Macaca mulatta: one gene and its partners. The protein of the gene in region 6 interacts with the protein of the main gene of each other region in a biochemical or structural test. Links are inferred from orthologs where the notes say so. Each region holds a gene or a part of one and is shown on either strand. Other genes may lie near its edges.

Region 1 (4,304 bases), on a different chromosome or scaffold from region 6:
CAGTCACAGCTCTCTGCCTCCTTCCGTACCACATCCAGGACAGAATCAACCAGCTCGGCCCCCTCTGTGTAGTGGCCTTTGGCCCAGTTGTTACCTGCCCCAGACTGACCTGGAATGCAGTCAGGAGAAAAGCTCAATTAACAGGGTATGGAAGATACATGATGTTTCCATCTTTCAACTTTAGAAATAATTCCCTTGGATGTATCTTCTTTCTCCTTCACTGTGATGTATTCTCCCCCCACTGCCCCATAATGTACCAGCAACAGCAGGCACTACCTCTACCCTACCTCTACCCTCCATTAGATTTCAGAATACAGTTCTTAGCACTCCAGTACAACAATCATCTCCTAACTTTTGCTGTGTCCTTGCACCCAAATAAGTTGAACACGATAGTATATCATCTGCTAATATCATCTGTATAACTTACCAAATACAAAGTTGTCTGGTCTAAAGATCTGGCCAAAAGGACCTGAGCGAACAGAGTCCATGGTCCCAGGTTCTAGATCCACCAGGATGGCACGAGGAACATATTTGCCACCTACAAAGAATAAAGTTAAGAGCTGTGAGATCTGGCAGAGGGAAAGGTTTATAGATACACTGGGAATGGAAGACAGCAGGGACCCAAGACTTGTTCCAGGTCCTGCCACCAGGTGGCAGCAGACGTCTTTGGCCCCGACGGTGGTTCACAAAAGGGAGAAAATGATAGATTCACCGAAAGGGGATAAGGCGTGCCAGGAATGGAAAGAGACCCCAGAGAAGTGGGAGACAGGGAAGGGGAACCTGAGCTGCCCGGGCTCTTGCCCTTACCTGTGGCTTCATTGTAGTACACGGAGATGCGGTCCAGCTGCAGGTCGCTGTCCCCGTGGTAGGTGCCGGTGGGGTCGATGCCATGTTCATCACTGATCACCTCCCAGAACTGCCGGGCAGGAGCAACGAGACCACAAGTCAAGTCCCAGTCAACTACGTCCCCAACTACCATTTTATTTCATCTTTTTCTTAACTTTTTTCTTTTTTTTTTTTGAGACGGAGTCTCGCTCTGTCGCCAGGCTGGAGTGCAATGGCGCTATCTCGGCTCACTGCAACCTCTGCTTCCCGGGTTCAAGCGATTCTCCTGCCTCAGCCTCCGGAGTAGCTGGGACTACAGGCGCGCGCCACCACGCCCAGCTAATTTTTTGTATTTTTAGTAGAGACGGGTTTCACCATGTTGACCAGGATGGTCTAGATCTCTTGATCCGCCCACCTCGGCCTCCTAAAGTGCTGGGATTACAGGCGTGAGCCACCGCGCCCAGCTTCTTTTAATTTTTAAGACAGGGTCTTCCTCTGTTGCCCAGCCTGCAGTGCAGTGGTGCAATCACGGATCACTACAGCCTGAAACTCCCAGGCTCAACCGATCCTCCCATCTCAGCCTCTCGAATAGCTGGGACCACAGACGCGCGCCACCACACCCAGTTAATTTTTTTTTTTTTTTTTTTGAAGAGATGTGGCCGGGGGGAGGGGTCTCGCTTTGTTGCCCAGGATGGTCTCAAACCCCTGAGCGGGAGCGATCCCAATTAGCCCGCCTCAGCCCCACATCTCCCATTTTAATCCCACACGCGCTCAGGCCGTTGTTCTAGGGCCTGGCATCCCGTGTGCCTGCCACACCCTTCCCCTAGACACTCGCTCCCCCGGGAAAGCCACAGCTTTCCCGGCTCGGGATTATGTGCAGCGGGTCCCAAGTGCTCGGTGGGCGGATGGAGGTCGACCATACTTGGATAAGCGCCGCTGTTCTTCCCCCGAGCTGGGCACCGCCCCACCGCGCGGCGCACAAAAGGCTCGGGGCACTAGAAGAGCTGCTGCCGCAGTCGACCACCCCCCACCCTCCACGTGACTGCGGCGCACGCGCAGGTCGAGCCGCCGACAAAGGACTTCGCACGTGGGCGGGGCCAGGGGCAAGAATTCCGCGCGAGGGGCGGGGCCCAGGGTAGCGCGCCCCTCCCGGCGGGCAACGCCGCATTGTCCCCGCGCGCCAGCGGCGCCCTGGCCCCGCCCCGCAGGGCCCCGCCCTTCTGCTACAACGTAGCACCCGCACTTCCTCCCGCCCCTCCCCCGCTACACTGTAACCGCGCGCAAAAAAAAAAAAAAAAAAAACCCTTGGCCTCGGAATTTTATTCCTTTGCTAGATTTCTCCCCCTTGATTTAAAGCATTCTTTCTCTCCCATTAAGTCCTGAAGGACTCGTTAAAGAAAACCACACACCCCCATTTTCTCGACATATCAGTTCACGCCCTAAAGAGGTCTCGCTTAGGTGCCATGAAAGCAAGAAAAATTAATCCCGTTCTTATTCTCCTTCCACCCCGGAACAACTACAGGACCGGCCCTCCGGGGTCGCGGGCGCGCTGGGGTCCCTGATCTTTTGTGAATGGTAGCGCCCAGCGCAGCCCACCCTGGCGCATCGCCCCCCGACCTTTGCACTGGAGCTCTCTGCAGCCGCCCGACAGCCTCACCCCTTCCCGCTCCCGTTTGGCCCTAAGAACCCCGCAGGGGGGGCTGGGCGGGATGCACATGGGCAAAACCTCGCCCCGCTTTGTCTCCGACTGTTTCCGCATCTCTCTCCCTGCCCGGTTCTTGGACCGTTAGAAGCCCTTTTAAGTAACATATGTCCTTGGTCTTCCCGCCCCCGAAACCCGAAGAGCCCTTTTACTAGTTTCTCCAAAATGTGCCTGCCAAGAAAAATGATTCCCAGTTTTCCAAAAGCAAATGCTAGTTATTATATATATAAATGTAACAAACTTGGGAGGGGCAAAGCTTGATTAAGAATGGAGAGTGCAAATGCCCCACAACCATTTTTTCATAACTTACCTGGATTTTTCCTTCTAAAAAGAAATAAAAGAGGTGTAAAATTCTTACCTTGGCACCGATCTGGTTGCCACACTGACCGGCCTGGATGTGCACGATTTCCCTCATGGTTAAAATTAATTTTTTTTGCTCGCCTCAAGGTATGTATGGGGCAAGAAAATAAGTAATTTTTTTTCTCTGCAGGTCGCAGGCTGGAAGGTTGGAACGCGCCCCAGACGCTGGAGCAGCGAGGTGCGAACGCGGCGGCAGGAAGGTTCTGAGAGGGAGAAAGGAGAGGGGAGGGCGCGGAGGGAAGGCAGGCTGGGCGGGGCGCGCGTGCGCCGGGGCTGGGAGGCGGGAGAATCGGCCCCGCGCGCGGTCGGGAGACAAAGCCTCATCGAGCCTGGCCCTGATTAGTCGATGCCGGTCATGTACCAGGCGTCCATTGGCCTCTGAGCCAGTGGACGAGCGCAGTCCTCTTTGGGAGTTGTAGTCCCCTATTGTTGTTCACGGTGCAAAATGAAGTGACGAATGGGTGGGTACCGGTTTGGTTTTTGTTGGGTTTTTGTTTTGTAAATGAAAAACGACCTTGCGCAAGATTCCTTTCCTCTGTGCCTGAGGTTTTTGTACAAAAAGTGAGCAGTTCTCGGGGATGCAGGGATTGAGAAGTCTGGGGTTCCAGAAGTTGGGTGGTGAGGTACGCCCTAAAAGCTCCCAGCTGCAGTACCTCTAGGGAAGACAGAATTGCTTAGCTCAGCGAAAAATGGGGAGGAGTGTGGCACCGTGCTCTGCTACCTCTGGCCTTTGGTGACCCAAGTCATGAACTTAAGTAAGCTTCTGCTCTCTCAAATACTTCAAGAAGGGAATCGCCCTCTTGCTATTTCCTTGGAAATTTTCGAGTCATTGTTTTGAAAGAGAAACAAAATTGCAGCAAGGGCTTTTCAGGATAGAGATGTTGTCTGGAGAGTATGTTCAAAGAATAAAATAGTTTAGAGAAACCGACATCGGGGATTTGTGAAACTAGAAGTCTCCATCCACGTAGGAGATCTGGGCCTTAGGGCAGACTTTGAAGACACCTTGATCTTCTTGTCAAACAGGGAACTATGGAATGAGATGCCTGATAGATTTTCAGTTTTTTCAGCCTACCTTTTTAGACATGTTAATGAAGTCAGTGGTTTTTCAATTCGCTTATTTCACTGACCAGGTGGCCGCCATTGCAACTCTGCAAGATACCCAGTATTGAAAAAGGAGAGAGGGGAAATTGATGGGGGAAAATTGGATGGGCTCAAGACAGAGTCCACCAGCTTCTTCCCAGAGATTTATTCACTTATTTGATAGTTACTATGTATCCACCAAATTAGGAACTATGGTTACAAAATGATTAATAATTAGTTCCCTGTCCTCCAGGATGTTGCAGTCTGGCCACTCAGAAATGTAGTATCAAGTCAACATCATTGTTCATTCACATTCGATTACACACAGATCTATATA
Region 2 (3,845 bases), on a different chromosome or scaffold from region 6:
AGGGAGGTGGGGATGGGAAATGAGGCCAAAACCCCACCTCTATCCATCACCTGTAGCTGAGCTGTGGCTGCCTCCCTACTGTAGGTGGGTGGTGGGTGTCGGGTGGCATGGGTGTGGGGCAACTGCCCTAGCACAAGGGGTTCTGGCCTCACATACCGATACCCCCCACTTAGTGCCAGTGAAGCAGGGGTCCAGCAGCCACCACTGGAGCTGAGGCCTGGAGAGTACAGGGTGCTGTTGTGTGTGGACATTGGCGAGACCCGGGGGTGAGTGAGGTGGGGAGAAATGAGGTAGATGATCGGAGGAGGCTGGGGGGTAGGCACTGCCCTGCCCTGATCTAGGATTCCTTCCTTGCCACTCCAGGGGCGGGCACAGGCCGGAGCTGCTCCGAGAGCTACAGCGGCTGCACGTGACCCACACAGTGCGCAAGCTGCACGTTGGGGATTTTGTATGGGTGGCGCAGGAAACCAATCCTAGAGACCCAGGTGAAGGGCCGTGGGCAGGCTGGCGCCAGGGGCAGGGCCTGGTGGGTGGGGGATCACAAGCTAACGGCTGGCTTGTCAGCAGCGAGCCCTGGGGAGTTGGTACTGGACCACATTGTAGAGCGCAAGCGGCTGGATGACCTTTGCAGCAGCATCATTGACGGCCGCTTCCGGGAGCAGAAGGTAATTTTGCTGGCTTTGCCAGGCTTCCCTGACTGCTCTGAGGCCCCCCTTTTCAGCCCAGAGCAATCCAGGGGCACTTCTGGCAGCCTCCTTGAGGCAGAGCCCTTTGGAATCCAGCCACATCCACCATGTGGTTGCTCCAGAATCAGACCCCCACAGGCCTGTCCAGGCACACAGTAGGAAGCTAGGTACCTGCATTTTTGGGCTGAGCTCAGGAGCATATTAAAGACCTCTTGGGTACCGAGCCCCTGCAGTCTTGGATAAACAAGGCTTAAACCTCCAGAATTGGAAATACAGAGGCCGTACCTTGGTACTTGCTGCTGGGTGGACCCCCTAGTCACAGAGGCCATGTACCGGCCCAGGGGAGGCTTGAAGGATGTTGAGAGATGGAGGAAGGGCTTTCTAGACAAGAGTGTCAGCATGAACAAAGCTGTGGAGGCCCTTCTGAGGCAGGTGGAGAGGCTAGGGAGGATGCAGAGGCTAACTGGTGGGAACAGGGTCGTAGCACCATTTTGAGTGTGACATCATGGACGCCCAGGCATGTGGTCATCCAGCCTGACCCTCCCTGCCCACTCTGTCCACTTCCCCAGTTCCGCCTGAAGCGCTGTGGCCTGGAGCGCCGGGTATACCTGGTGGAAGAGCATGGCTCGGTCCACAATCTCAGCCTTCCTGAGAGTACGCTGCTGCAGGCTGTCACTAACACTCAGGTGAGCAGGGAGGGCAGGGCCAGGCAGGCAGGGGCCGCTGTGGTCCATGGTTCATGGTCTGGGCCAGGAACCACCTTCCCTCTCTTGGGTCCTCTTCCCCAGGTCATTGATGGCTTTTTTGTGAAGCGCACAGCAGACATTAAGGAGTCAGCTGCCTATCTGGCCCTCTTGACGCGGGGCTTACAGAGACTCTACCAGGTGAGCAGAGGCCCCTGTCCCAGTGTCGGGACACAGCCCACAAGGAATTCACCTTGCCTGGGCCCTGTGCATCCCCAAAAGAAGCAAGGTAGGTGAGATCCCCATTTCTCAGGCTGGCCCCCCGAGGCTGAGGACTGGGCAGGGGCTGGCTGGAGTTGTCCCTTTGAGCTCCAGCCTGGCCTCAGTCCCTTCTTCCCTCAGGGCCACACCCTACGCAGCCGCCCCTGGGGAACCCCTGGGAACCCTGAATCAGGGGCCATGCCCTCTCCAAACCCTCTCTGCTCACTCCTCACCTTCAGTGACTTCAACGCAGGAGCCATCAAAAATAAGGTACCGTCTCTGCCCAGCTTCTCGGACGTGGCCTGGCCCAGACCCCCACTGATCCAGCCCTTCCCCAAACCCAGGCCCAGTCAGTGCGAGAAGTGTTTGCCCGGCAGCTAATGCAGGTGCGCGGAGTGAGTGGGGAGAAAGCAGCAGCCCTGGTGGATCGATACAGCACCCCTGCCAGGTAGGCCCTAGAGGGCCCTTAGGTGTCCTCAGCCCCTGCTCTCCGTGCATGGAATTCACCTTAATCCATGCTTTGTGGAGGGAGCTTGGCCTTGTGTGGGCTGTGCAGACCAGAGATGGACAGATCCCAGGGTGCTCATGGAGGTCAAGCGGGGAGGAAGCCAGCAGACCCACACAGTGTCCCAGGCATTGGAGGCCACAGGAGGGAGGGAAATGTCCCACGTGGTGGCGAAGAGGCTTCTTGGAGAAGGGGGCTGGGCCATTAAGGGGAGTGAGGGTGATGGTTTGGAGCCTTTGCTGGTTTTGCCCCAGGGTTCCCACAGGGAGGGAGGACAGCCAGGCTGGCCTGGGGCCTTGAGTGCCAGGCTCAGGAAGTGGGGCAGTGTCCCAACTCTTCTATCCCATGCTGACCCCTCTGCCTGGCCCCTCATGGTGCTGGCCCAGAGTGGGCCACCGTCAGCCTCAGAAACTCAAGCCCCTGTCCCCCAGCCTCCTGGCCGCCTATGATGCCTGTGCCACCCCCAAGGAACAAGAGACACTGCTAAGCACCATCAAGTGTGGGCGTCTACAGAGGTGAGGGCAAGAGACGGAACCTGGAGGGAGTGGTGGGGACTGGGGCTGCCCTAGGCCCAGGGCGTGACCCTCGCTGCTTCTCTTCCTGCAGGAATCTGGGGCCTGCTCTGAGCAGGACCTTATCCCAGCTCTACTGCAGCTACAGCCCCCTGACCTGAGCTTATGCTGTGAAACAGCCCCCAGCCCCCATCTGTACCCCCACGCAGGCTAGCCAGCCTTTTAACAACATCTTTTGTGGTAAAATTAGAATCTAAGTGTTTGCAGCCATATGTGTTATGTAGAAGATGCCTGGCCCTGGGGACCTTGTGAAATACGCAGGAACCAGGGATACCGTCTGGACCAGTGGTTTTTAAACAAAGCTGCTTAGGACCTGGGATTGCCTGGTCAGGGAGATGGAGTCAGTGGGGCACTGCAGCTTTGAATCGATTTTATGTCATCAGTTGGTCCTCATCAAATAAAACTTCCTTAGGAGTGCAGAGGGCTCATTGGGAAAATAAAAATAATAAAAATAAATAAAACTTCCTAAAAGAAAAGCTTGAAAACCACTAACAGTCCAGTTGCCTCTTTTTATAGAAAAACAGGCCCAGGGAACTACTAGGGCTTATCCAAATGTACAGTTTGAGGCAGAGTTAGGACTGGAACCCAGGGCCTCCTGGCGCTCTCCGGAGTAGAGTTTCTTAGGACCCCTGCAAGCCAGCCAAGTCCACATCTCTGGGCCAGGGCCTGGAGTCCGCCCTCCTCGTTACCTCCTCTCCTCTCGGGGTGGCTGAAGCTCGTGGTACAGAGCTCCCAGCTCCTGTCAATGGGGCCCCCTGGGCCTGAGCATATAGAGACCCCCATTTAGGTGAACTTGGCCTGCCCCTCCAAGTCCCACCCTGCCCCAGCCTGAGGCTTGCTGCAGTGTGACCCGCCCACCTCAGCCACCAGGACTCCTTCTTTCTCCCTTTATTGCCTTTCTCGTTCTACCCTTCGTAACAGGCTCCTCAGCTAGGGTAGCTGCAGGGAGGGTGGCTCCCTCCTGCTCCTCAGAAGGTGTAGGCCCCCACAAAGACGGTGAGCCTCAGTACAGAGCTGGCCCGGTAGCTCATGAGGGAATTCATGGTGACCATCTCCAGGTCCAGCACGTACTCCCGGGGGCCTGTCACCGGCCGGGCGAGGACCAGCATGGCGCTGACGTTGTTGATTTGCTGCAGGG
Region 3 (4,602 bases), on a different chromosome or scaffold from region 6:
GACACCAAAAGAATCATGGGAAATTAAGCAGAAAACATAAGTAGTATTAAATACAATTCGTTTATTTGGAAAGATTCAATATAGTATATGAAAATGTGTTATGAGGAACTAAAATTGCTCCTTTCCCTTACGCTTTTTTTTTTTTGGAGACAGAATCTCGCTCTGTTGCCCTGGCTGGAGTGCAGTGGCGCGATCACTGAAACCTCTGCCTCCCGTTTTCAAACGATTCTCCTGCCTCAGCCTCCACAGTAGCTGGGACTACAGGCGCACACCAACCACGCACGGCTAATTTTCGTTATTTTCATTAGAGAGGGGTTTCGCATGTTGGCCAGGCTGGTCACCAATTCCTGGCCTCAAGTGATCCGCCTGCCTCGGCCTCCCAAAGCGCTGTGTGTGATTAAAGGTGTGCGCCACCGCGCTCAAAACCCTTATGCTTATGCTCTAAAGAAGTTACCATTTGCTTGCTTTATGAAAATGCTTAAGACATGGTGAAACTCGAATGTATCACACCTGTACACTCAAAGACCTTTAGATTAGAATAAACTAAAAGCAGTAGTTTGAAACTCACATTAACTCTACATCTGTGGCTTTATTTGTACTTTTAAAAATCCTCCCTATGTTCATCCAATTAGAATTTTAACTCAATCAGGCCTACAGAAGCTGGAAATCTAGGATAGCAGAAAAGTATAATCATCTGCATACTGAAGATAATAAGCACGAGTAAGCCATCTTTTGTCTCCGATTTCAAAACAAAAACAACACACATAGCACTACCTGTAACACAAGCTGCACCCTCAGCCTCTTGACAGGTACCCATTCTGCAAACTGGAATGGAGATAATACGAAATGAACCCAGAAAAACTCAGAAGCTTTTCTTACTCTTACTAGGAAATCTCCTGTAAAGTTCTCATCACTTTCAGATAAAGCCTGGCTTGTACGGTAAGATTTTTTTTTCACTTCACTATACTCAAGAAAAAAGAATTAAGAAAAATTACCTCTATTATTCACTAGTCTTTCACTAGACTAATATTGAGTACCTATGGTGTTCCAGGTACTGTTCGAGGTGCTGTTAACAAAGCAGTACCAAGGCATTCCCATTCCTCAACACCCTCCTATAGAACCTATTTAGGGGTTTTCTTAATTTCAAGTTAAATCGTACTTTCTTGATTCAGTAATGTTTCCGAAACATACTAAAAAAAGTTATTTTTTGAAGTAAAGCTTATGACATATTGCAATGAAAATCATCTTTGCAAAATTATCCAAAGAGTAGTTAATTCTTTTTAACAAAACGAGTCTGTGAGCAGCAGAGACTCATTTTGATAAACATATTTATAAACTCAATCACTAAACACTGAACCCATAGTCAAATTAAGTAATATAGACACTTCTTGGTCTACAATTACAATAACATTTAGCTCTATTTTGGGGGTCCTTATATATTCATAGGCCAAAAAATCAATATTGCTCCCCATTACCACCTTCCCCAACAAAAACGTACAGCTTTTCTTGAGACTGGCTTAGTCTACTTACAGCAAACGTTTAACTTTCCCTCACGAGTAACTAAAACACTCAAATTGTGTCAATGAGCTTTAGTTACGGCCCCAAAATTGATACTGTAAACCTTACTCTTTTTCCAGATAATTTTATAGAATGTTTTTATAAAAACACATTCCGAAAGAATATCAGACAAGGCCAGGCCTAATCGGAAGGCTGGCTGCAAAAGCAAGCCTGAAACTCTGAGAAACAGACCAGAGGGTATAAAACACACCTCAATGAAACTGTCTGTCCCCTCCCTACTTAGATTGGTCCCCAATTGCACCCAACCTTAGCAATTTGAAACTTTTCATGAACACCAAACAAGATGTGAATGCTGGCTGCTCTCATCCTTAGGCCACCACCCCAAAATTTTTTTAAATGTCAAAGACTTCAGCGCGCACTCTCAAAGGACGCCCACCAACTCTGGCTCGCGGCTCAATCCACCCGCGCCCCCTGGGCCGAACCGGCTCGCAGCCGAGCCCCTCGCCTGGGCGGACTCGAACCAAGCGCGCTCGCAGCACACTCCCTCTCCGTCATCGCTCATCCCTCGTACTTCACCGCCCCCCAAACCCACCCAGCGCAGATAACTGAATACCCGGGGTTCTGGGGGCCACGTTTTCCAGTATACCCTCTTTTCTCTCCGTCAAGAGCAGAAATAGACGTACCTTCCAGAAAAGTAATCTCCCCGGCGCTGCTGCCGCTCTTGCCGGCCGCCATCTTCCTCCTCCCACGCCGCCTCCTTCTTAATCCATGGCCCACACCGCCGCCGTGCTCGCCGGGATGAGGGGCCGCGCCGGAGGAGGGTAGACGCCGCAGGGTTGCGGGCCTCGGGCTCAGCCGTCAGGCGGGCGGCGCTCCCACGTTCAGATGGGCCTACACAAAAGCAGGCCAGGCGCGCCCGGGCCTGTCCGCGGGCTGGCGGGCAGCGAGGCCCGCGGCCCGAGCTTCTCAGGCCCCTCGGGGGGAACGCGAGCGGCGACGACGACGACGGCGCTTCCCGGGCCCGGTTCCTCTCGGCCCACGACTCCCCATCCACCGCCCACCTAGGCTGCCTGAGAAACTTCCCCCGGCCGTGGGTTCCCAAGAAAGGAGGATGAAAGCGAGCACACAAACACGCCTCCCTTCGTCCCAGGCCGTAAAATGGCCGCACCGCCGCGCCGGAGCGGCGAGGTCTCCGCGACCGTCAGGCGCTTCCAGGCCCCCAACTCGTTCTGCAGCCGCCGCCGCTACGGCCGTCCGCCCACCCCGCCCAGGCGTGAATGCATCAGCGGAGGCCTTTGCGACTGTCCATGTGGACAGGGGTGGGTCTCCTCTGCCACCGCCTCGCGTCGGTCGCCACAGCAGCTCCAGCCGCCGCCGCTGCCGCTCCTCCCCCACGGGCGCTGGAGCTGCCGCCCGGCTCCCGCCCGGCTCCCGCCCCCGCCCCGACGCCGCCGCCCCCGGCGCTGCTCCCCCTCAGCAGCCCGGACTCGGCTCGCCCGCAGAGCTGGCTGCCGCGCCGCACCGAGCCCTGACTTGTGGGCGCCCGCCGCCCGGGCTTTCGGCAGGGTCGGCCTTTCACGGCGCAGGTTCGGCCTAGACACGTTACATCCAAAATCCCCACAGCTCGGGGCCCGGTGGCAGACCTGGCGTGTGCGCTTCTGCGCCAGGCCGGTGATGGGTTTGTTCCTCTGACACCACAGATGCCTAAGAAATGTGAAAATGTCATTTCTTGAGGAGGCCTTAGAATTTAAACTACAGCCACCTGAAGAGAAAAGGTAGTGAGGTACTGGAATCACATGTTTGGTAAATGATTCGTGGTCTACATTTATTTTTCAAGAAGTTTTCAAAATAACTTAGGGAAGATCGTACCAGTCAGCTTTAAATGGCAGTGTTTTTTTGTTTGTTTGTTTGTTTGTTTTTTAAAGAAGTCCCTTGTCATTTACGTGCCTGAGACTTAAAAAAACCATACCCTACCTTACAAGTGAGGCTTTTTTTTTTTTTTAACTTCTTTTCCTTTAAAATTTTTTTCATATTAAAAAACTACATTCTCATTCAAGGAAATATGGAAAGCACAGAAAACGATTATACTGTTTCACGACTGAAACTCAACTCCTTTACGTTTGTACTCCTCTGATAGCATTTTTCTTGTCTTTCAGTATCGTTCTTTAAAAAACAAAAATGAGGAAAAATCTATGCTAAATGTCAATGAAAAGTCAACAGCAATTAAAATGATGCAGAAAACCGGTATGATTAAGTGCAGTCTTTGGGGAATGGACTGTTCTAATTCAGCTGTCTTATTAACGAAGGCCTATGCAGAAAGGCTTATTGTTTTAAACGTCCTTTAAAATCTTTTTCCTAATGCCAACCAATAATCTTTCCTGATTGGCAAGAGTAGTGCAATGAATATAATTTATGTTTGTTGCCTGAGGTTATTGCATGATCCTGTTGTGATGTTCTATGACATCGTCTGTGCCAATGACAGTATAATACTGAGATGTGTAGGTAATAGGCAAATGTGGGTAACTGGCCATTTGTACAGACTTCAACATGTAGTTTTTAAAAAAATCTTTCAGGCTGGGCGCGGTGGCTCACGCTTGTAATCGCAGCACTTTGGAAGGCCCAGGCGGGTGAATCACCTGAGGTCCGGGGGTGTTAGAGACCAGCCTGACCAACATGGAGAAACCCCGTCTCTACTAAAAGTACAAAATTAGCTGGACGTTGTGGCGCATGCCTGTAATCCCAGCTACTCGGGAGGCTGAGGCAGGAGAACTGCTTGAACCCGGGAGGCGGAGATTGCAGTGAGCCGAGATCTTACCATTGCACTCCAGCCTGGGCAACAGAGCTAGACTCCCTAAAAAAAAAAAAAAAAAAAAAAAACTTTCAGCAGCTTGATTCCATTTGGAGAAACTGTTTTTTTAATTAAAAATAAATCTTTGCTTTTAAAATGCATATATGCTGGCTTTGAAAATGGAGGAAGGTGCCAGGAGTCAAGGAATGTGTGTGGCCTCTGGAAGCTGGAAAAGGCAAGAAAATTCTCCTCAGGAGTCTCCAGAAAGGAAAACTGACACTTTGACTTTAGCTCAA
Region 4 (2,741 bases), on a different chromosome or scaffold from region 6:
TAAAATAATCCATGAACAGGTACAAGGTATTTACAGTAACAGAACTGAAAAACATAAAATCGATATATTTCTTTAACAGAAATGTCTATAAAATTTTCTACTGTGAACCTGGAAGACTTTCAGTTCCTACTTATTAACCTGGTCTTAAGCCCCAACAGGCGACATGTAAGGCCCAGGAGTAGGACATACAAACTCTAACACATTTGGCAATTAAGAATCATCTATTAGTGTGAGCTGGCGGGTGGGGGCTGGGATGGGGAGGGAAGAACCAGATCTTAGGGTAAGATATAGAATGGAAGACTCCACTGAAAACAACTATGGACAAAAAAGATCTAAAATCACACTTATCGTTCCACTTGTCTCCTGTGGGAGAAGGCTGCAAACTATTTTAAAGACTTACTCAATTTTTCCCATTAGCAGACAATCAGCAACCCTGAGACTCCAACATTTCATGACATAAAAGCTAATAAACATCTAGAAGCTGATTAAGATTTATAAACTAATTTTACATCAGATAGAAAATAACTCTTATGATTTAAAAATACATGTGAGGAAACAAAATTTCTCAAATTTATTTTTCATGCCTAATTCTTAAACATTTCAACTAATATTTTCTATTATCTGAAATTAGTTCCACACACAGATATACTTTAACTGAATGCTTTGAGTACAACTTGCTCTTGATTATTAAATGGAATGCCTACTTCCTTGTTTTATTATTCATACATATTTAAAAGAAATGAGAAGTTTAATCCATCTGGACTATATAGAAATTGATTGACTTACAAGATAGCCACATAGACAGAGACCAGAAAAAAATAATCAAATGCTCATTCTTAGTAACACAACTGAGACAGTGAAACACGGTACACCACATGTCATCTACATATCCAACTAGGCTATTTGATAAGCTATACTTACAAAGAATGGTTTCAACGAACACCTTTGTAGAACAAATATTCATACTGAGCTATCAAATTTGCTGCTCCTCCAGTGGCGGTTCAAGAGCTTCCATTAGCTTTTTATTTGCCTCTTCATTATGCCGGCTTTGACAATGAGTTAAATGTTTCTTAAAACCTCGTGGGAAATTTGATTCAAAATTACAACGTGGACATTTAAGTAAACTCTGCCCATGGGCTGCTACATGATTTTTAAGGAGAGATTCCAAAAGAAAAGCCTTTCCACAAATTGTGCATTTGTAAGGGCTATGAACATTATGCTTATTAACCAAATGATGCAAAACAGCACCTTTTTTCATAGCACGACAGCAACAAATTTTGCAATAATACTTTCCTTTTCCACGCTTCATATATTTTGCAATCTCCTCTTCAGAGATAAAAGCTTCTTTTTCTTCAGTAAACTGTAGCACATTTCTAGACTGCTCTGGACTAGTCATGTCCATTTTGTTCTCTTTGCTAAAATCAATGGATTCCACATCAACCTGCTCTTGATCACTGCTTGATTCCTGGCCCTTAACATCCACCACATCCAAATCTGTTTTTATGTACTCACTACTACTAAGCTCAGCATCTGAGCTCTCTTGGTTGTCTTTCTTGAGCTTCTTTGAGGAAGGAAATAAAGTATCTTCCAAAAGTTTCTTAGGTGAAGCTAGAAGTTCTTCCTGAACCAAAAGATCACATTTTTGATCATCTATGGCATCTATTTGTAGTTCATCACCAAGCTCAACAGCCTTCTGTGATTCTGAGAATAGAGCAGATTTGGGGAGTTCAGGGAAAAGGGCATGCTTCCGGGGCTCTGGAAAAAGGGCACGTTTGCGTGGTTCTGGAGAAGCTGGAGGGGCTGTTTTGGCAGGCTCGGGAAACAGGGCAGGTTTTCTAGGCTCAGTATCAATAGAGAGAACTGGCTTCCAGATATCTGAGGCTGCTTTGGGGGACTCAGATGGCCCAGAAGAACCTGGTTTTCGGGTCTCAGGGAAGACAGGTTTCTGAGGCTCAATAAAAAAGGAAGACTTCCAGAGATCAGGAGAACCGCCACGGGAACTTTTCTGGGACTCAGGGAAATCAAGTGAAGCAGGAGAAGTTTTCCGCTGATCAGGAGAAAGCTTCCAAAGGTCTGGTGACCCTGAGGGTTTTCTGAGCTCTGGAGATCCTGCTGGACTACGGATCTCTGGGGATAGTGGTGGGCCGGGTTTGCGAAGCTCTGGAGACACTGGGGGAACTGCCTTCCAATGTTCAGGAGACAACGTGGGAGCTGTCTTTCGGAGTTCTGGTGGGCCAGACTTCCATGACTCAGGAGATGCAGGGGGGGACTTCCAGGAGCTGGGTGAGACTGATGAAGATTTCCAGGATGCAGAAGACACAGATGGAGTTGGTTTCCAAGGTCCAGGAGATATAGAAGGAATTGGTTTCCAAGGTCCAGGAGACACAGATGGAGCAGGTTTAGCTGGCTTCCAAGGTCCTGATGACGCTGAAGGACTGGATTTCCAAGGCCTAGGGGACCCAGGTGGCCCTGGCTTCCAAGAGCCTGGTGACACAGCAGGGGCTGGTCTCCTAGGCTCTGGGGAGACAGCAGGGAATGGCTTCCAAGGTTCAGGAGACCCTGAAGGGGATGGCTTCCTTGGCTCAGGGGAGGTAGTCCGGGCTGATTTCCGAGATTCTGGAGATGCAGCTGGGGATGGTCCCCAAGGTTCTGGGGAAGCAGCTAGAACTGGTGACTCTGGAGATGAGGCTGAAGGTGGGCCCAGTGTTTCTGGGAAATGAGAGTGCTTCTGGGGTTTGGGA
Region 5 (3,852 bases), on a different chromosome or scaffold from region 6:
CACTTTAGGAGGCTGAGACAGGTAGGCGGTTAGCTTGAGCTCAGGAATTCAAGACCAGCCTGGGCAACATGGTGAAACCCTGTTTCTTCAAAAAACACAAAAATTAGCTGGGTACAGTGGCATTAAGCTGTAGTCCAAGCTACTCAAGAAGTTGAGGTGGGAGGATCAATTGAAGCCAGGAGGTCAAGGTTGCAGTGAGCTAGATCGTGCCACCGCACTCCAGCCTAGGTAGATCGTGCCACCGCACTCCAGCCTAGGTGACAGCATGAGACCCTGTCTCAGAAACAAAAAGCAGATTTGGTTTTCTTTTTTAATATTACTGTCATACTTTCTGGTTGATTTTTCCTGCCAAAATTAATTGGTTAAAGAATATATTTCTGAAAATATTCCCCCAAAGTATGTCATAATTAATCAGGTAAATCATCTGAGATAGGAAGATATAAAGTCTTATCTAAGGCCCAGCATGGTGGCTCATGTCTGTAGTCTCAGCACTTTGGGAGGCTGAGGTGAGAGGATCACTTGAGGCCAGGAGTTGGAGATCAGTCTGGGCAACATAGAAAGACTCTTATCTCTAAGAAAAAAAGAAAAAGAAAAAAGCTTGAGTGTGGTGTTGTGCACCTGTAGTGTTAGCTACTCTGGAGGCTGAGGCAGGAGGATTACTTGAAGCCCAGGATTTCGAGGTTACAATGAGCTAAGGTCAGACCACTGCACTCCAGCCTGAGTAACAAAGTGGAACATTGTCTATAAAAAGAAAAAAAAAAGAGGCTCCTCTGCCGATGGAGTAGCAATTTTTTTTTTTTTTTTTTTTTTTGAGATGGAATCTGGTTCTTTCACCCAGGCTGGAGTGCACTGGCACCATCTTAGCTCACTGCAACCTCCACCTCCCGGGTTCCAGCAATTCTCCTGCCTTAGCCTCCCAAGTAACTAGGGTTACAAGCACCTGCCACCATGCCCGGCTAAGTTTTGTATTTTTAGTAGAGACAGGATTTCTCCATGTTGGCCAGGCTGGTCTTGAACTCCTGACCTCAGGTGATCCGCCCGCCTCAGCCTCCCAAAGTGCTGGGAATAAAGGCGTGAGCCACTGCGCCCGACCGCTATTCTTTTATTCCTTTACTTTCTTAAAAAACTTGCTTTCACTTTAATAAAAAAAGTATTATCTAAGTCAAAACAACATATGCCAGCATCCATGCCAGTCAATAATAGGAACTGAGAGTCTAAGCACTTACTCAGAATGTGTCCATTGCTTTTTTGTTTTTTTTTTGTTTTGTTTTGTTTTTGAGATAAATTCTTGTTTTGTTGCCCAGGCTGGAGTGCAGTGACGTGATCTCGCCTCACTGCAACTTCCACCTCCTGGTTTCAAGTGATTGTCATGCACCTCCTGAGCAGCTGGAATTACAGATGTGCACCACTATGCCCATCTAAGTTTTGTATTTTTAGTAGAGACAGGGTTTCACCATGTTGGCCAGGCTGGTATCAAACTCATGACCTCAAGCAACCCTCCTGCCTCGACCTCCCAAACTGCTGGGATTATAGGCATGAGCCACCGCGCCCAGCCATTGCTGCCTTTTTATGTTGTATAAGTTAAGGATCAGATGTGTGACTGAATACAAGCATCATAGCTATCATCTTCTCAGTGATCAATTCCTTTTTCCTATAGGTGCTGTGAGGAGCAAAGGCCCTGTTGTCCAGTACACACAGGATCTGACTGGTACTGGAACCCAGTTCAAGCCAGTGGAACCCCCACAGCCTACAGCTCCACCTGCCCCACCTTTCCCACCTGCTTCACCTCTATCTCCCCAAGCAGGTGACAGTGAGTAAGTGTTATTCTTTCTTTTTTCTTCAGTTTCTTTCATATTATATTTTCCACATCCCTTACTATACGCCCTCGTCTCTGATCTCCTAGAAGCTTGGAAAGCCAGCTTGCCCAGTCACGGAAGCAGGTAGCCAAAAAGAGCACATCCTTCCGACCAGGATCTGTGGGCTCTGGTCATTCCTCCCCTACGTCTCCTGCACTCAGTGAAAATGTCTCTGGTGGGAAACCTGGGATCAACCAGACGTATAGGTGAGAAAATCTGAGGCTCTCTGTAGGCAGGATAGCAATGAGTGGTCACTGTGTAGGGGAAGGTTCCTTGGCTCTGAAGGGCTTAGTTTAAGTTTATGATGGTGAGGAGTTTGGACTTGAAAAGGAAGCTTTACCCATAGAAGTTTCTCAGAAATAGAAAGTAAGAATAATTGAATCGGAAGCTGGGTGCTTGGAAATGTGGTATCATCAGAAAGCCATTTGTTAAAACTTCTTGTTGAACATAGTTCCATCTTTGCTAAAATAGAAAGGAAACACCACAGCCTCTTTCCTTGAATCCTGGGAGTTAGTAAGGACATTTCTGGAACACACAGCAGACAAAAAATATATTGGTAGAAGACTGGACTCGACTTCCGTAATTCACAGGCAAATACATTTTAGGAAAAGGTACACTGTTGAAATAGAGATGTTAGGCCAGGCACAGTAGTAGCTCATGCCTGTAATCCCAGCACTTTGGGAGGCCGAGGCGGGCGGATCACCTGAGGTCAGGAGTTTGAGACCAGCCTGGCCAACATGGAGAAACCCTGTCTCTACTAAAAAGTACAAAACTAGCCGGGCGTGGTGGCGCATGCCTATATCCCAGCTACTTGGGAGGCTGAAGCAGGAGAATTGCTTGAACCCGGGAGGCGGAGGTTGCGGTGAGCCGAAATCATGCCATTGTACTCCAGCCTGGGCAAAAAGAGCAAACCTCCATCTCAAAAAAAAAAAGAAATAGAGATGTTATCAGTCAGTGAAGAGTAACCAGGGATTTTTGTCGTCCAGCTTTGATAGGGCAAGGGAAGATCTTTCTTGAATCATCTTTAGCTTCAGGAGCACAGCTGCTTGAAAGATGAAAGAAATGGCTTAGCTACCTGGAGGGTTAATTATACAACAGAGGTCCTGTTGCCTTCTGATCTGATCACTTGTATCTCATTTGCAGATCACCTTTAGGCTCCACAGCCTCTGCCCCAGCACCCTCAGCACCCCCAGCCCCTCCAGCACCCCCAGCCTTCCATGGCATGCTGGAGCGGGCCCCAGCAGAGCCCTCCTACCGTGCTCCCATGGAGAAGCTTTTCTACTTACCTCATGTCTGCAGCTATACCTGTCTGTCTCGAGTCAGACCTATGAGGAATGAGCAGTACCGGGGCAAGAACCCTCTGCTGGTTCCATTACTGTATGACTTCCGGCGGATGACAGCCCGGCGTCGAGTTAACCGCAAGATGGGCTTTCATGTTATCTATAAGACACCTTGTGGTCTTTGCCTTCGGACAATGCAGGAGATCGAACGCTACCTTTTCGAGACTGGCTGTGACTTCCTCTTCCTGGAGATGTTCTGTTTGGATCCATATGTTCTTGTGGACCGAAAGTTTCAGCCCTATAAGCCTTTTTACTATATTTTGGACATCACCTATGGGAAGGAAGATGTTCCCCTATCCTGTGTCAATGAGATTGACACAACCCCTCCACCCCAGGTGGCCTACAGCAAGGAACGTATCCCGGGCAAGGGTGTTTTCATTAACACAGGCCCTGAATTTCTGGTTGGCTGTGACTGCAAGGATGGGTGTCGGGACAAGTGAGTTGGTGGGGAGAATTGCTGCCCCTGCTTCCAACTTTGTTATGGTTGTCTTCCTTTTCACCTCTTCCTTTCCCTTGTATCTGTACTGCTTTCCCCATCTTCCTTTACCTCCTCCCTCACCTGGAACTCGTGCTATAAGGCCTCCATGAAAGCTATGAGGTAGGGAGACTGGAGTCTGACATGGCCACACTGAGCAACCCTGGGTACATGTGTATTG
Region 6 (4,337 bases):
GCACCAGATTGCAGTGGGTTGAGGAGTGAGTGGGAGGGGAGGGGTTGGAGACAGCTGGCAGGGACATTTTTTCAAGCTGTTTGGCCAAGAATGGAGAGAGATAGGATGGTAACTTAATAGAATTGAGAGCTTCTTCTTTTTTTTTTTTTTTTTCTATACTAACGGAGGAGAGGAAGAAAATTCAGGGACAAAAGCAAATAATAAAGCCCAGGGGGAGGAGCAAGATGGAATCCAGTGCACACACTGGATTGTTCTTCAGACAGGAGGGATGCATGTCTATGTTTTAACTGGATGCAAGGAGGAAATGATTAAATTGGCTGGAAGCTTGATTGTTGGGTAGTTCTCGCTTAAGGATACTGTTTCCTCTTGGAAGATAGGCGATGAGTAAGGAGTTCGTTGAATGAATACACGAACATTTTCCCGTAGCTAGTCAAAGTCTAGGGTTACCAGCAGGACAGAAGAAGACACTGCAGGCCGGGTATGGTGGCTCACGCCTGTAATCCCAGTACTTTGGGAGGCCGAGGCGGGCGGATCACGAGGTCAGAAGACCGAGACCATCCTGGCTAACACGGGGAAACCTTGTCCCTACGAAAAATACAAAAAATTAGCCGGGTGTTGTGGCGTGCGCCTGTAATACCAGCTCCTCGGGAGGCTGAGGCAGGAGAATCGCTTGAACCTGGGAGGCAGAGGTTGCTGTGAGCCGAGATCGTGCCACTGCACTCCAGCCTGGGCAACAGAGCGAGACTCCGTCTCAAAAAAAAAAAAAAAAAAAAAGAAGAAGACACTGCATTTGAGGCAAGAGTCCGGTGGGAAGCAGGTTAAGACTGACTGAGAGGAAGTAACCATGGGAGGGCTGCTGGTCCACTGAAAGAGAGAGATTTTTCCAGAACCTCATGCTGGGGCTTTGATTTAGGAATCCCCTTCTTCCTCTAGTCAGTCAGCCTTCCCTGGCCTATGGCTCACGTCTAAAGCCTCGAGCCTCATCGTTCCCACCGAGGACCAGCTGGAAGCCATTTTGATTATGCTCCACCACGAAGGAGGACAATACAGCCCCGCCCAGAGCCAGGCGCGCCCCCGCGGCGGGCCGGGTGCGCGTGTCCGCGCTTCTTCCCGCCGGCCGGGCGGGCGCCTGGCCCAGGACGCGGTGGCGCGGGGCGGGGGGTGGGGGTGGTTATGTAAGCGTTGCGCGCTCCCGCGAGGCGCCAGCCAATGGGAGGCCCCGGCGGCTCGTGCTCGCGCACGCAGGGTGGGGGGAGGGAGCGCACGACGTGCGCGCACCCTCTCCCTCGTCCACCGCTGCCGCCTCCTTCTTCTGCCGCTCCTGGTGCTGCTTGTGTGCTCGTTTGGTGCGGACCTGGTACCTCTTTTGTGAAGCGGCAGCTGAGGAGACTCCGGCGCTCGCCATGGCCGACGAAAAGCCCAAGGTGAGCTCGGCGCCGGCCCCTTCGCCTCGCCGCGCGGTCGGGGTCAGGGCGCGGGCCGGGGTCCGGCCAGAGCTCGCCGCTGGCTCCCAGCGCCTTCCCGGGCCCCCCACAGGGCCGGCCGCAGCTCAGGCCCCGGCGCTCCGCGCCATTTTCCTCCCTCCCTCTCTTCCTCCCTCCCGCGCCGGAGGAGGCCCCGCCGCTCTCTCCCGCCCCCGGCGGCCTCCGAGTGCGCGCGGGGCGCGAGTTGGGCGGGCAGATCGCGGACGCCCGCGGGCCCACCAGCCCCGAACGGGGATTCTTGGCCCAGCCGTCCGGCGCGCGTGAGGAGGGGCGTTAGGGCGCGCGGGGTCTCCACCCTGCGCCGACCCCGCGTCGGGTGTTGCAGTCTCCGAGGCGGCGGGGAGTCCCCTGGGCTCGGGCTTCACCTCTCAGGGGTAGAAACCGCGGGCATCTGGGGACTCCTGCCCGGGGCGGCGGCGGCGGGGCGAGGGTTCGGGGCGAATCAATGGGCTGCTGATGAGCAGGAACCTGGATGCCCGCTGGCCGCCGTACTGGGCCTGGGGGTAGGGGGATTCCCGTGGAGTATTTCCCACTTTAATGGCCTCAGGGACCTGAGGGGGGAGGGGCAGCGGCTTTTCCCTGGGTGCCAACGAACCCCTAATCCGCGAAGACCATGTGGTTTCATGAAGTTGGAGGCACAGGTAGGAGCAGAGAGACTTTGTGCGGCTTAACTTTTGAATGCGGCTTTTGAGGCACCCGAAGACTTCCCGGGAGGACTGGGGGACACCCATCATCGGGGCACACGGGACTTGCTGCTTTTAGTTTGGTGACACCTCCCGCCTCTCGCGCCTTTACTTTCTGAAGCGTTTTAGGGCTACAGCATGCCTTCTACACTCGATTTTGGACAACTTTAGGTTGGGTCGAAATCTACAAGAAACACTTGGGATAAAACTGTGTATTTGACCCATGACAACAAAGGGGAGGGGAGAATAAGTGCTCTTAACCGAAGATAAAAATGAAGCTGCTAATAGAGGAGAACGTAACTGTGGTCCTGAGTATTACCGCTGTTCCGGAGGGAATCGGGATATTCTTCGATTTTTCGTGTGTGTGTTTACTTTAATGGAGATTGGATTTAGGTTATTAAACTGAGTTTGGTAACTTTTTAACGACAACGGTAATGAGTTTTGAATGGCAGGCTGTAGATTTATTGTTTTGTTTCTTGCAGTTGTACTTAAAGTGCTTAGAAAAGAGACTCTTATTTTTAACTTTTTTTGGGGGTAAAATATATATTTTGGGAGTGATATATGCCATTTTAGAAAGTTTAGCTTCAAGAGAACGTTCAATACACTGAATAGGACCCAACTTTAAACATGTATTGTTGTTACTGATAGTATTGCATGTAGGCTTTTCTGTATCTGACAGCTATCTAATACTGTTGCTGCAGGATTTCTCCTCTTTCACATTGATTTCAGCAGCTGAAAACAGCCGTATGCCGTTTTAGCATACCGTATGAGAAACCTGTTGATTTTTGAAGCAACTTAGGGCTGCTGCTGCTTTATAAAAGTGTGTGTTGATCACATTTCCCAAATTATACTTTTATTTTTCTTTTAACAGGAAGGAGTCAAGACTGAGAACAACGATCATATTAATTTGAAGGTGGCGGGGCAGGATGGTTCTGTGGTGCAGTTTAAGATTAAGAGGCATACACCACTTAGTAAACTAATGAAAGCCTATTGTGAACGACAGGTGAGGAATTCATATGTGTACTTCCACTGAATAAAACTATTTTTAAAAATCTTATTTTCATGGGAACAAAAACTAGCCTGGCATAATACTACAGTGACTTTTTGATGGGATGAATATGCACTTGTACTTGGCATGTCAGTTTTATCGTGCACTTGGTAGCTTGCTCATGAAAACCCTTAGGATGATTTGCTTAGTATTATATGTGGTTCCAGTCCTGTGCCAGAAATCCATCAAATTGTATTTACAATACTTGTTTTTTGGTTTTTTTTTTAACCAAGGAAATGTAATTTTATGTTTATAAGAAAGTAAGAGTGAACTTGGTAAAATTACTTAAGAGTCTTTTATTATTTTATTTTATTTTTTTGAGACGGAGTTTCATTCTTGTTGCTCAAGCTGAAGTACAGTGGCGTGAGCTCAGCTCACTGCAACTTCCACTTCCCGGGTTCAAGCAGTTTTCCTGCCTCAGCCTCCTGAGTAGCTGGGATTACAGGTGCCTGCCACCACGCTTGGCCAATTTTTTTTAGTATTTTTGGTAGAGATGGGGTTTCATCATATTGGCTAGGCTTGTCTCAAACTCCTGACCTCAGGTGATCCACCCGCCTCGGTCTTCCAAAGTGCTGGGATTACAAGCATGAGCCACTGCGCCAGACCAAGAAGTCTTTTTTTTTATTTTTTTTTTTGAGATGGGAGTCTTGCCGTATTTTTTTAAGCTAGAACTTATCTACCTTGTAAATCGTGGGGTTTTTTTTGTTTTTTTTTGGTTTTTTTTTGACAGAATCTTGTTCTATTGCCCAGGCTGGAGTGCAGTGGTTCAATCTCTGCTCACTGCAACCTCTGCCTCCTGAGTTGAAGCTATTCTTTTTTTTTTTTTTTTCCCCCCCGAGACGGAGTCTTGCTCTGTCGCCCAGGCTGGACTGCAGTGGCCAGATCTCAGCTCACTGCAAGCTCCATCTCCCGGGTTTATGCCCTTCTCCTGCCTCAGCCTCCCGAGTAGCTGGGACTACAGGCGCCCACCACCATGCCTGGCTAGTTTTTTGTATTTTTTTTTTAGTAGAGACGGGGTTTCACCGTGTTAGCCAGAATGGTCTCGATCTGACCTCGTGATCCGCCCGTCTCAGCCTCCCAAAGTGCTGGGATTACAGGCTTGAGCCACCGTGCCCGGCCAAG
Region 7 (3,381 bases), on a different chromosome or scaffold from region 6:
GAGAGAAATAGCATTTTTTAGTTCCCAATACATGAGTACAAACATTATTCCATGATCTCCTTTACCCAGTGACTGTTTACTAAAAATGTTTTTGTTTTTTTTTTTCCTACTTACAGGTATCATGGTGTTTCTCTCCTCAACCCACCAGAGACACTAAATCTGTAACAATGAAAGACTGCCTTTGTTTTCTAAGATGTAAATCACTCAAAGTATATGGTGTACAGTTTTTAACTTAGGTTTTAATTTTACAATCATTTCTGAATACAGAAGTTATGGCCAAGTACAAATTATGGTATCTATTACTTTTTAAATGGTTTTAATTTGTATATCTTTTGTATATGTATCTGTCTTAGATATTTGGCTAATTTTAAGTGGTTTTGTTAAAGTATTAATGATGCCAGCTGTCAGGATAATAAATTGATTTGGAAAACTTCGCAAGTCAAATTTAACTTCTTCAGGATTTCAATTAAAAAAGTTTACTTGGTTTACTATATAATGAGAAGTGAAAACCTTCCTCTAAAATTAAAGTAGGTTTAGGAAAACAGACCCTCAAATTCTAACATTCATTTTCCTAAGCAACTGGATCAATTTGCTGATGGGCATAATCTAAGCATATCTGAATACAGACTTTTTCACTCTTTGTAAAACCTGTTTAGGTTCTGCAAACTAAACAGAGGCTGGGAGCGGAAGAGGGTGGGAAGCTTACGTGCAAATTAACAGACGAGAAATGCTCCAGAAGGTTTATTATTTTAAAGCATAACATTAAAAACAAAAAACTATTTTTAAAACCCTGCTAGATTTTATAATGGATTTGTGAATAAAAAATACCCAGGGTTCTTAGAATGGAATAAATATCCTTTTAATAGTTATATATACAAATATACAACTGTTAGCTTTAATTGGCAGCTCTCTTCTTTTTTCTTCTTTTCACTGGCTTTTTACTTGGTGCTTTTTCTTGTTTTGCACTGGTGGTCTGTGTTCTGTTAATAAAGTAAGAATTTACTAAGCGTATGCTTGTTAAGTTTTGGATTATTGAAATAAGAGGCATTTCTTAGTTTTCCAATAGGATATAAAATGTGTAAGACTGGCATCCAAAGAGTTCTATAGATTTTGGTCCTAATTTTTATAAATCACAAGGTAAAGAAATCACAGAACAGATGGATCGCTAATGAAAAAGGGACGTCTTTTTGTTTATAGTCGTGTGGCAAGATGAGAGTAAAACCAGAGAGCAAACCTCTAGAAGTGTTGAATATATATATATATACATTTGAAATAAACCAGAAACGTGTTACCTTATTTTCTTTGGATTCTTGTCTGGTTCCAAAATGATCATTTCTTCTTCTTCACTATCTGACAGTATTATGGGAGCATCTTTTTTTTTTTTAAAAAAAAAAAAAAAAAAAGGGTAAGCAATCTCTTGCAATATTTACTTCTGCACAAGTTTATTTCTATCAGACGTTCTAAAACTCTTACTGCTGGGGCTGGGGTTGGGCTGGGCGTGGTAGCTCACACTTTTAATCCCCGCATTTTAGTAGGCTGAGGTCATTTTGGTCACCTGAGGTCAGGAGCTCGAGTCCAGCCTGGCCAACATGGTGAAACACCATCTCTATTAAAAACAGAAAAATTAGCCAGTTGTGGTGGCATGTGCTTATAGGCCCAGCTACTCGTGAGGCTGAGGCATGAGAATCGCTTGAACCAGGGAGGTTGAGGTTGCAGTACCACTGTACTCCAGTCTGGGTGACAGAGGAAGACTCCATCCTAAAAAATAAATAAAAATAAGACTATTTGCATATAACAGCCCATGCCACTCTTTAGGTGGAGGCTTACTCTTCTCTTTAAATCAGCTTCTTAGAGCACTCTAGAACTTGTCTGTAACATTTGTTTCTTTAAACTCTTATTTCCTGCAAGTGCTCGAATGGCGTGACAATTTGGTACATGTCATAATAGAAAAGTTAGGGGGAAATCTATATATCATCTTTTGTAGAGACAATTGAATTGTTTGTGCTACTCTATTCCTCCAGAAATAGTTCCAGTTTACATTCCAATAAATAAAAACCCATTTCCCATATACCTTTGGCATTGCTGGTATTTTTAATACTGCCCAAAATACAGTAACAAAAAATGCCATGTCATTTTTCTTTGGATTTTATTTGTATTACTATCAGGGCTGACCATGAAAAATATTACTGGCCATTTGTATATTTTGAGTACTGCTCCCTGTCTTTTGCCTATTTTTCTCCTGATCATTAGTTAATGATATACATAAAACGTGAATTAACCCATATCAATTCTTTGTATTTTTAGTTTTCAGTTAGTTTCTCCCTTTCTTCACATGCTTTAGAAAGGCTGTACCTGCTCCATTTTTCCAATTCTTAGGTCCACCTTCATTATATTCAATTGAAAATACTATTCACTGTTAGAAGAATACACTAAACAAACATATAAGGTATATGCAAGTGCAAGGATATTGTTAACAGTGAAAAAATGGAAACAACTTACATCTTCAACAATAAGAGAATTGTTAAACCAACTAGTTATATTCAATGCTACATAAGTCTATGCAGCATTAGCTTATATCACTGCACAGAGAGTAAATAAATACCTGGGACAAGTATTTGGAAGAATTATACCAAATAGAAGTAACCACTGGGAAATATGAGTAAGGGTCCCAATCAATGGGAAATTTTTTCCTTCCCTATTAAGTAAAAAAACAAAAAGCTCAGGCTCTAGTAGTGTTCATAATTTCTCTCTTTGAAAACAGAAGTATTTGTTTTACATTCCTACTAAACATATCACCTTCAGTTTTCCCTGCCAGCCTAGTTCCCAGTTCCTTGTAGGATTTCTGTTCTTACCACATAAGAAAATAAGTCATTATTCTATTATCTAGACCAGCAAGAATTTGCTTTTTTTTTTTTTTTAAGTAAAAATAACCATACACAAAAACAACTTCTTCAGTTCTATGGCTTTCAAAATGCAAGCAACGTCTAGGACTATCAGTATTCTAGTCATTTCTAGAATTTTTTTATGTTCTAATACTGCAATGTCTAGTATGGTAGCCACTAGCTACATGTGGCTGCTTAATTTTGTATTAAATAAAATTAAAAATTCAGTTCTCAGTAATACAAACCACATTTCAAGTGTTCAGTAGCCACGTGGGGCTAGTGGCTGCTATACCAGTGTAATGTTTCTATCCCAGAAAGTTTTATTTAGACAGTATTACATGTTCCGATAAAGGATGGGCTTTTTGTTTCAGTCTAGAAACCACAAAAAAAGACAGCACGGAGGAATAAGATCTTCCAGAAACTCATTCCCTTAAAACCCACCCAAATACATTACAAAAAAAAATTTTTTTTAATTAAAAATGTCACTATCATTTTATGC

Evidence for each region.
Region 1: the proteins of SUMO2 (region 6) and TUBB form a complex in vitro, tested with the Homo sapiens proteins (2 studies listed by BioGRID). The link is inferred for Macaca mulatta from reciprocal best matches to the Homo sapiens genes SUMO2 and TUBB.
Region 2: the proteins of SUMO2 (region 6) and MUS81 form a complex in vitro, tested with the Homo sapiens proteins (2 studies listed by BioGRID). The link is inferred for Macaca mulatta from reciprocal best matches to the Homo sapiens genes SUMO2 and MUS81.
Region 3: the proteins of SUMO2 (region 6) and SENP6 form a complex in vitro, tested with the Homo sapiens proteins (2 studies listed by BioGRID, with this or other methods). The link is inferred for Macaca mulatta from reciprocal best matches to the Homo sapiens genes SUMO2 and SENP6.
Region 4: the proteins of SUMO2 (region 6) and CHAMP1 form a complex in vitro, tested with the Homo sapiens proteins (2 studies listed by BioGRID). The link is inferred for Macaca mulatta from reciprocal best matches to the Homo sapiens genes SUMO2 and CHAMP1.
Region 5: the proteins of SUMO2 (region 6) and SETDB1 form a complex in vitro, tested with the Homo sapiens proteins (2 studies listed by BioGRID). The link is inferred for Macaca mulatta from reciprocal best matches to the Homo sapiens genes SUMO2 and SETDB1.
Region 7: the proteins of SUMO2 (region 6) and EXOSC9 form a complex in vitro, tested with the Homo sapiens proteins (2 studies listed by BioGRID). The link is inferred for Macaca mulatta from reciprocal best matches to the Homo sapiens genes SUMO2 and EXOSC9.

Annotation. Positions count from the first base shown.
Region 1 is NC_133409.1:152,322,328-152,326,631, forward strand, and holds the start of TUBB (tubulin beta chain), read right to left. Parts: upstream 3,017-4,304; 5' UTR 2,943-3,016; coding exon 2,886-2,942; intron 1,844-2,885; exon of another isoform or gene 1,560-1,843; intron 917-1,559; coding exon 808-916; intron 539-807; coding exon 428-538; intron 110-427; coding exon 1-109. UniProt on the Homo sapiens protein: Tubulin is the major constituent of microtubules, a cylinder consisting of laterally associated linear protofilaments composed of alpha- and beta-tubulin heterodimers.
Region 2 is NC_133419.1:8,558,959-8,562,803, reverse strand, and holds the end of MUS81 (structure-specific endonuclease subunit MUS81), read left to right. Parts: intron 1-173; coding exon 174-266; intron 267-363; coding exon 364-485; intron 486-564; coding exon 565-665; intron 666-1,255; coding exon 1,256-1,372; intron 1,373-1,474; coding exon 1,475-1,570; intron 1,571-1,771; coding exon 1,772-1,900; intron 1,901-1,957; exon of another isoform or gene 1,958-1,974; coding exon 1,975-2,078; intron 2,079-2,521; coding exon 2,522-2,650; intron 2,651-2,741; coding exon 2,742-2,808; 3' UTR 2,809-3,195; downstream 3,196-3,845. Other genes in the region: CFL1 (cofilin-1), read right to left, coding at 3,676-3,837. UniProt on the Homo sapiens protein: Catalytic subunit of two functionally distinct, structure-specific, heterodimeric DNA endonucleases MUS81-EME1 and MUS81-EME2 that are involved in the maintenance of genome stability.
Region 3 is NC_133409.1:110,131,261-110,135,862, forward strand, and holds the start of SENP6 (sentrin-specific protease 6), read right to left. Parts: upstream 2,898-4,602; 5' UTR 2,254-2,897; coding exon 2,202-2,253; intron 1-2,201.
Region 4 is NC_133422.1:108,401,836-108,404,576, reverse strand, and holds the end of CHAMP1 (chromosome alignment-maintaining phosphoprotein 1), read right to left. Parts: coding exon 974-2,741; 3' UTR 682-973; downstream 1-681. UniProt on the Homo sapiens protein: Required for proper alignment of chromosomes at metaphase and their accurate segregation during mitosis. Involved in the maintenance of spindle microtubules attachment to the kinetochore during sister chromatid biorientation.
Region 5 is NC_133406.1:116,158,248-116,162,099, reverse strand, and holds part of SETDB1 (histone-lysine N-methyltransferase SETDB1), read left to right. Parts: intron 1-1,657; coding exon 1,658-1,814; intron 1,815-1,903; coding exon 1,904-2,062; intron 2,063-2,999; coding exon 3,000-3,632; intron 3,633-3,852. UniProt on the Homo sapiens protein: Histone methyltransferase that specifically trimethylates 'Lys-9' of histone H3. H3 'Lys-9' trimethylation represents a specific tag for epigenetic transcriptional repression by recruiting HP1 (CBX1, CBX3 and/or CBX5) proteins to methylated histones.
Region 6 is NC_133421.1:84,873,150-84,877,486, reverse strand, and holds the start of SUMO2 (small ubiquitin-related modifier 2), read left to right. Parts: upstream 1-1,274; 5' UTR 1,275-1,403; coding exon 1,404-1,424; intron 1,425-3,038; coding exon 3,039-3,170; intron 3,171-4,337. UniProt on the Homo sapiens protein: Ubiquitin-like protein that can be covalently attached to proteins as a monomer or as a lysine-linked polymer.
Region 7 is NC_133410.1:130,631,432-130,634,812, reverse strand, and holds the end of EXOSC9 (exosome complex component RRP45), read right to left. Parts: intron 1,372-3,381; coding exon 1,293-1,371; intron 1,282-1,292; exon of another isoform or gene 981-1,281; coding exon 896-980; 3' UTR 841-895; downstream 1-840. UniProt on the Homo sapiens protein: Non-catalytic component of the RNA exosome complex which has 3'->5' exoribonuclease activity and participates in a multitude of cellular RNA processing and degradation events.